2 linked regions of the Diceros bicornis minor genome follow. The protein of the gene in region 1 interacts with the protein of each later gene in a pairwise test. Links are inferred from orthologs where the notes say so. Each region holds a gene or a part of one and is shown on either strand. Other genes may lie near its edges. The genes, in order: LHX9 and KHK.

Region 1 (3,906 bases):
ACACTAATTTTGCAAAGAAAATCTTTTTGCCAAAAGTATACTCCAGAAACATGGGCTCTCCTTCTCTGCTTTTCACCTTGGGGGATGCTCCAGCCCCTGGTAGGGCCGGGGGCGCTTGGGGAGAGAAGGCGATTTACTTTTAAAAAGTGAGTTGAGGAAGAGGGGATGGGGAGGAGAGGAATATCCGTCCAATATTTATTCATTTGGGGTCCCCGTAAGTCTGGTTTTGTGGACCAGAAAGTCCACAGAGAGGAAACCCAAAGTTTGGAGGTGCCGTTCTCTATGTCTTGAGCCGGGGTCTGATCTTGAACTTGGACCCAATAGGCCGGCTCTCTGCCTCCCGCACCCGGGCAGGGACAATAAGGGCTCCTTCCCCCTTTAAAACGTGATTGCTGGGAATTCTTGGAAGGATATGTGGTTGTGTGTGTGTGTGTGTGCGCGCGCGCGCGCGCGCGCGTTGGGGGGAAGTAAATGCCCCCTCCTCCTGCCTGCCCCCTCCACCCCCCCCCGTAATGTTTGTCCCCGCTCGCCCATCACCAGGGGGTTGAGAGGAGTATGACAGGTCTTTGTTGTCTGAATAAAAATCCGTGGCAGCTCCGGGGAGAGAACTCCTCCTACTAAATTATCAAAAATGGGCTGGCTTTAGTCTCTTAACAAATTGGACACAGCTACGGCAGGAGCAGTCCCCAACCCAACCTACAGGCACTGGGAACCTTGGAGCAGCCAGGGACCGCTGAAAATAGCACTTCTTTTTCTTTCTTTGTGTTCAAAACTATTTTCTTTCTTTCTTCACCAGATTTTGTTGTCCTCCCCCGCTGCAGTTGTTTCCCATTAGTAACTCGATCTCTCGGAGCAGTAAGATTCGCCTTCTCCCTCTGCTCTCCCCTCCTCCGTGTTTGTTTGTTTTCTGCACATCTCCTTCAGGGAGCCGCTGGGGCTCCCCCCCCTTCTTCTTCTTTTTTTCTTTCCCGAGCAGACCAATTTCCACTCCGTCTGCCTCTTTCTTCCTCCCTCTCCCTCTTGCCCTCGGTCCCCGAGCGTCTCTGTGCTGCTCCAGCGCGCAGCACTCCGCGGTCCCTTCTGCTCCTGCACTCGGATGAGCTGAGAGCCCTGGGCGTGTGTATATGGAAATAGTGGGGTGCCGAGCAGAAGACAACTCGTGTCCTTTCCGCCCCCCAGCCATGCTCTTCCACGGGATCTCCGGAGGCCACATCCAAGGCATCATGGAGGAGATGGAGCGCAGATCCAAGACCGAGGCCCGCCTGGCCAAAGGCGCCCAGCTCAACGGCCGCGACGCGGTAAGGAAGGGCCCCGGGGTGCGGGAGCCGGCCCCCTGCGCGCCCTGGAAGCCGAGCCTCAAAACCCGGCCGGCGAGTTGAGGATGGCGGGGCATGGGGCGGCCGCTCCAGGCTGGCGGGCGGGTTTTCTCAGAAATAGCTCCCTTTCTGACTCGAAATGTCACCACTACTGAGACCCCGAGCTCGCTACCCGCTGCCGCCGCGGTTCCCGGGAGAACAGGGCGAGCCGGGAGTTAGAGGACGGAGTCGTCCTCTCCTGCAGATTTCAGACTCCGGGCTCCGGCCCCCTGGACTCCCGGGCCTCCCCGGCGAGTATCGGCGGCCAGAGGGTGAGCTGCGCGCGGCCGGGGCGCCCGGGCCAAGCAGGAGCCCGGGGGACTCTGGTCTCTGGGTCTGATGGGAACCTTTGGAATGGACTCGGACGTCACTGGGCTACCTCCGATTCTCCGGAAGCTTGGAGCTCGGCACCCCCAGACCCAATGATTTTCGGGGTCTCTGGCAGCCCAGCTCGGCCCCTCTAGCGAGACAGGATTGCGTTCAGCTCCCGGGCCGGGCGGGTGTAATGTGTAGAGGAATCTAATGAAAAACCCGGAGGAGCGGGGCAGCTAGACCAAGTGCGAGGAATGTCTAACCCTTAAACGATGTAATCAACCGCGGCTGTTACTACTATTCATAAGAATAAAAGTCACATCTGCTTAATAAAGAAAACCAATTAATAATCTATGTGCTTCCCTTTCCCACTTACCAGCCGGAGGGGAAAAACTAAAAAACTCTCTGGAAATGATTTCAGCCAAACAGAGCCGTGCAGATCCTTTGGCATCACACCGGATCTGCTAGCTCAAACTCACCTGGTAGCCTGCCTGGGCACGTCAGGGGGGTTTGGGGATTTGGGGTTCCATCAAGTAGCCCAGTTGGTAGATCTTTCCACGTTTGCAACATGAATTCAGTGCGGGCCCTTGGTTTGAGCAAAGGGGGAAACTTTACTTTTCCAGGCCCGCCAAAGTTTCGTGGAGAAGTCCAACCATTTCTGCTAGTCTTCAGGGACATGTCCAGCGGTTAACTTCTTTTTTCCTCTTTTGTGGCTATCCCGTTTAAACACAAAAAGCAGCAACCCAAACCCGAATTTCGCAGTGGGGCTGGGCTCATCAAGGTGAGGTTTCCCCATCCTCGGCTCATCATTCGGGAAGCAGGCGGGAAGCTTGGGCGTTAAACAGATTTTCAGGACAAAGATGTCCTGGGTGTGTTGATGCCAGGGAAAGAGGGACTGTACCGAGGGCACTGGACAACAAACCCTCCCTGGGGAACAGGCTCTTTATACTCCTGCCAGGAAGAGGACCAGTATCCTCGAAAATTAGAGAATAGTAGATCTGCCAAATATATCCGATCAAAACAGTGTCGACCAAATCATGAGCACAGGCATAATCTCTCCCTTCCTTTTAATTTCAACGCTGCTTATAAGAATGTAGAGAAATAGAATTGTAATAGTGTTTGTTTAAAAACAATTCGTGCTCATTCAAATCTCCTTTCCACTCCTCAATAACAATTTCCGTGGTTTTATTTTGTGTGCGTTGAAAGCCACATTTTTTAGCCTGTAATTATCCGAGTTCAGAAACATCCACGAAACTGTAGTCAATGCGCTCCTACTCCTTTTTAAAAGAGGCTTGAGATGGCCGGCTTCTCTTTAGGTGAACAATCCCGGGAGGACGGAACGCCGGTTGGGGCAGACACCCCAGAAAGGGGGTGAGCCGCAAAGGGGAAAATTGCAAACGTGTCCCCGATGTGTGCCTTTGCGCCGGGGCCCCGACCCTTGCCGCGCTCCGGACGCCTGGGCTCGCGCCGTGCGGCCCCCGCGCGCCCTCGTCAGCGCGCGGTCTGCTTGCCTTGCAGGGCATGCCCCCGCTGAGCCCCGAGAAGCCCGCTCTGTGCGCAGGCTGCGGGGGCAAGATCTCGGACAGGTACTACCTGCTGGCTGTGGACAAGCAGTGGCACCTGAGGTGCCTGAAGTGCTGTGAATGTAAGCTGGCCCTCGAGTCCGAGCTGACCTGCTTCGCCAAGGACGGTAGCATTTACTGCAAGGAGGATTACTACAGGTACTCCCACCCCTGTCTCTTACGCCCAGTACACCTGGCGCGGCCACCTGAGAGCCCGAGCCCCCTCCTTATGCCCCACCTTTCGCCCGTTCGGGGAAGGTTATCATCCCGAGACATGGGAAGACCCCTGCAGACCCTTCAAGCTGCACCCCCGTCCCCCGAAGGGCGGTGAGGATGGGTGGAAGGGACACCCAGGTTCAGAGCGGCATCAGTGCACACCATGCGCTCCCGCACTGCGCAGCCGGGTTGAGGGAACCTGGAGAAATCCGGGACAGTAAAGGAACGTGTCTCCGCCGACCGAGACGAAAGAGGTTTTTTTTTCCGTTTACTACGAACTGAGCAATGTCCGTGCCTTGGACTGAACTGGCGGCCCGGGCAGCAGCCGCAACCGGGTGTTAGGTTTTCGCGAGAGGGGCAGGAAACCTGTCAATGACCCTGAAAAGGAAAATCGCGGTTGCCGAAACCCAAGCCGCTCAGTTGCGAGTGCCTTTTACCGCTGGTTAGAGCTGTGCCCGCCG
Region 2 (3,906 bases), on another chromosome or scaffold:
TCAATGCCAAAAGTTAAAAAGATTATTGGGTGGAGACCAGTTTTTCTCCATCTTTTTGTTTGTTTCCTTTTTCTTTTCCAGCTTTATTGAAATATAATTGCCATATAACATTCTAGTTTAAGGTGCACAGAGTGATGATTTGGTATACGTACATATTGCGAAATGGTTACATTAAGGTTAGTTACACATCCATCACCTCACATAGTTACCTTTTTTTCTTTAGTTTTTCTCCATCTTTACTGAAAATCTAATAAAAGGAGACTAACTCAAGATACACCTGAAGGGCTTCATTGTCATCATCAACAACGAAAATGATAACTTATGCATACATAGTCAAAGCACTTTAATGATTTCTCATTTGTGCTCCAATAATACTGTGAGGTAAACAGTGCAGGCTGTTACTTCTATTCTTCCAGCTGCAAAAAGAATAATAATAACAACTGTGGCAGCTTACAATAAGAGGAGCAAGTACCAAAGAACCACTAATTAAGAGAAATAAATGAAGCGGAATTTTTAAGCTAAGGTATATTTGTACACAAAACTTAACCCTGAAGTTCCCTTCAGCCTTGGGAAAAGTATGTAACGATTCATGTGACCATGCAGGGTGGACCCAAAGCCTGAAGAATGCCCGGGTCTCTCCCCTCAATTAGCCTCATGGTTATTGGCGCTGCAGTGTCTTCCCCGAATCAATCTTAAACTAGCCTTTTATCCAGTTCTTGGCTGAGACAACTGAGAGCCAAGGAGCAATCGTTCTCAGTAGTCTAAGCACTAGACTGCACCAAGAGAAAGCCTCGTATTCTACACCAGAGAAATGCCTTCTTGGAATTACAGTGTAATGGTGTGATTCTCATCAAGAGTGAATATAAGAACCAACAAATGACTCTTCAGTTTCACAACTGAGAAGGATGTCTGCTATGTTGTCCACTGACTTTTGTAAAAAGGACTTCTGATAAACTCCTTTTGGAATTTAGCACCAGGGAAAAGCCTGTCGTGGCTCATGAACCACCTCTATCCATAACACATAGTATCTCCAAATTTGCCTGCAGTGCCAGCAAGCTCCGAGCTATAGTGAAGCTCAAATACCCTGGTTTTAAATGTTCTTCAACAGTCTAACTGCACATACTTCTCATCGTAAGCTACCTCAATTTTTTTTTTAGAAACAGATGAGTTATATATATGGTAAATAAATTAGAAGTAAACGCTAGTGAGAGGCAAGTGCACAGGTCTTGTTAACAAGCACCGTACTAGCTGCGCGCCCTTGGGGAAATCACTTCATCTCTCAGTCTCTACTTGCTTGTGGGTAAAATGGGGATAATAATGCCTGACACAGTCCCAGGGTTGAAAGGGGAACTGGTGAACACAATGCTATCCAAAGCCTGGGTCTTATTACTAAAGGCCCCAATTCTTTCCCCAGATCCTGGGCAGAGGGCACCGGGCACCGTGCACGGCTCCCGAGGAGGCTGAACTCGCACGGCCTCACTGCGGGGCTCCCGGCTCCGCGGCCCTGTAGTCTTGGCTGCCGGGAACAAACACGGGGCTGCAGAAGCCCCTGGGGTCTCCGAGGGGCCCGGGCGCCCCTACCTGCTATCCGTGTCCTCCTCCGGGTACTTGTCCACCACATTGATGATGTCCAGCACCACCAGCCCCACGCACAGGATCTGCTTCTCTTCCATGAGGCTGCTCCCGGAGCTTTCTGCCCAACTGGCTGACGGGGTTCCTCTCGGGCTCTGCCTCTTATCAAGGAGGATTGTGTCCCCGCTCCCGGGGCTGCCCTGGCTCCTCCTCCGCGTCCGGAGCTCCTCCTCCAGGGAGCCTCCTGCAGCGGCGAGGGGTGCAGCTGGGTGGAGGGAACGACGCAAGGCCCTTGCTCCCCACGCCCACCGACCCAAGCGGGCCTGGGAGCGCAGACCCCGAGGTCTTGGTCCCCGGCCTCCTCTTAGCAGGTTGCGTGACCCAGCAGATGACAACGCCTCCCACTTCTCGGCCTCAGTTTCCTCACTTGTCAGACGGACTCGGAGCTAATGCAAACCTCTCTAAAGCGCGGCCAGGCAACCTCATGAACGCAAAGAGAAAGTGCAATAGAAAGACGCCCCTTGCCCCGCCCTCTCCTCCACTGGCAGCTCCCAACCCAGACCCTAGACCGGCGGGGTTGAGCTGGGCCTCGCAGCTGCAGCCGGGACCCCGCAGCCGATGCCTCGGCTCGCGCGGTCGCGGCAGCTCCGCCCGCCCCCGAGGCCCGGCCAATCCCAGCCCGAAGCCCCGCCCCCGCCGCGGAGCAGCCGGGGCCCGCAAGGTGAGCGGCGGCAGTCACGTGACGGGAGACGACGCCCCGCGGCGCGGAGTTCTCGGCTCCCGACGCCCCCTGGCGGACGCGGGAGGAACGGGCGTGACGGGGAGCGGGGCCCGGCTGGGGCTCTCAGCAGCCGGCGCACCTCGCCGCCCGCGCGTCCAGAGCAAGCGTGGGCAGAGCCACCCCCAGCAGAGAGGTGGGGAGCGAGCGGGGTCCGGAACCCGGGGCTCCTCCCTCCCCGTCCGCTGTGCACTCCTGAACCACCCCTGAACACATACTGGAGCAGACGGTTTGTTTTGTTTTGTTTTGTTTTTTTTAGAAAAAACCAAGTGTCTTTATTCCTGAATAGTTTAGTATGGCGGTGGTGGCCGGAGCCTATCCGGGAGAGCCTTGGAGCCCAGGGAATCGGCCTAGAGGGCCAGTTTGGGGAGCAAAGGGCGTGAGGATCGGCTCCTCTGCAGTCCGGGTCCTGCAGGGGACCGCGATCAGGCCAAAAGTCTGGACGAGGGGACCCCGGAGTCTCCGACCCGGCGCGCTCCAGCCGCGGAGAGATTGTTCTGGTCGCCTGTGCCGCTGCGGGTCCGGAGACGGCGGCTCGCCCGGGGCTGGGGTGCCAGGACGGCGCCCGGTCCCAGGCGGGGACCCGGGAGAGCCCACCGCCCCTGCTGGCTCTTTGGCCGGCATAGACACTTCGGGCCCTTCTGGCCCGGCCCCCTGTCTACACCTGTTCAAGCTCCAGGTCCCCGTAGAGCAGGGCTCCGCTGAAGATGGTGAGCGGCTCCTCCGAGTGCGCCAGCTGCCCCATGACCAGGTCGATGCAGACTGTGTCCCCGGCCTGCAGGGGCAGGATGAGGCTGAAGACGCCCAGGGCGCCCGGGCTGGGCTGGCTCTCGGCCACAGGCTTATTTTCCAGGCCCTCGGGCTCGTAGCCACCGGAGTCGATGCGGGCCACGCCCAAGTTGGAGCGGGACAGCACAGCCTCGACCTTCTCGTGCCGGTGCCCAGTCAGCACCGCGCTCAGCAAGTAGCGGCCAGCCAGTGGCGCCGTGAATACACCTGGGGACAAGGATGGCAGTCAGGAGGGGGAACAGGTGGCAGGGACCAGGAAGGCATCGGGGAGCCCACCCAGAAATCCTGGACTAGGGAGGGACCCGCTAGGTCTTTTCCTCTCTTCCACTAGAATGTCAGCTGCAGGAGGGCAGGGAATTTGGGGTTTTGTTCATTACCCATCCCCAGCACTTGAAACAGTGCTTGGGCAAGAGCAGGCCCCCAATAAAGAGCTGTTGAACTTATGGCTCCTCCCCTCCCCACCCCACCCCTCAGCCCAAGCTATAGTGAGAATGAATAAGTGAAGGAAAGAACAGGGGTCTCGCCAAACCAGACCATGAAAAGAGTCACCTTGTTGGAAGGGGCAAGGAAGAGAACAGTCACGCTGGTTTCCCCCACTGCCCTGCCTGCCCGCTCCTAGGCTTACCTGTCTCTGGATCATAATAGCCCCCGTCGTTGAGCAGGACTCTGTCGAAGGGCACTGTGCCTGGTTCAGACCGGGGCAAACTCAGGGCAGCTGAAAAGGCCACCCGGGGCACAGAGGCTGCTGGTGCCCCCTCTACTCCTGG

What was found.
Region 2: the proteins of LHX9 (region 1) and KHK interact in binary tests that used the Homo sapiens proteins (3 or more experiments, as listed by UniProt). The two-hybrid records come from large-scale screens. The link is inferred for Diceros bicornis minor from reciprocal best matches to the Homo sapiens genes LHX9 and KHK.

The regions. Positions count from the first base shown.
Region 1 is NC_080777.1:26,690,343-26,694,248, forward strand, and holds the start of LHX9 (LIM/homeobox protein Lhx9), read left to right. Parts: upstream 1-1,021; 5' UTR 1,022-1,124; coding exon 1,125-1,298; intron 1,299-3,185; coding exon 3,186-3,388; intron 3,389-3,906. UniProt on the Homo sapiens protein: Involved in gonadal development.
Region 2 is NC_080751.1:55,730,890-55,734,795, forward strand, and holds the start of KHK (ketohexokinase), read right to left. Parts: upstream 2,190-3,906; 5' UTR 1,674-2,189; coding exon 1,582-1,673; intron 1-1,581. Other genes in the region: EMILIN1 (EMILIN-1), read right to left, coding at 3,009-3,346, 3,765-3,902. UniProt on the Homo sapiens protein: Catalyzes the phosphorylation of the ketose sugar fructose to fructose-1-phosphate.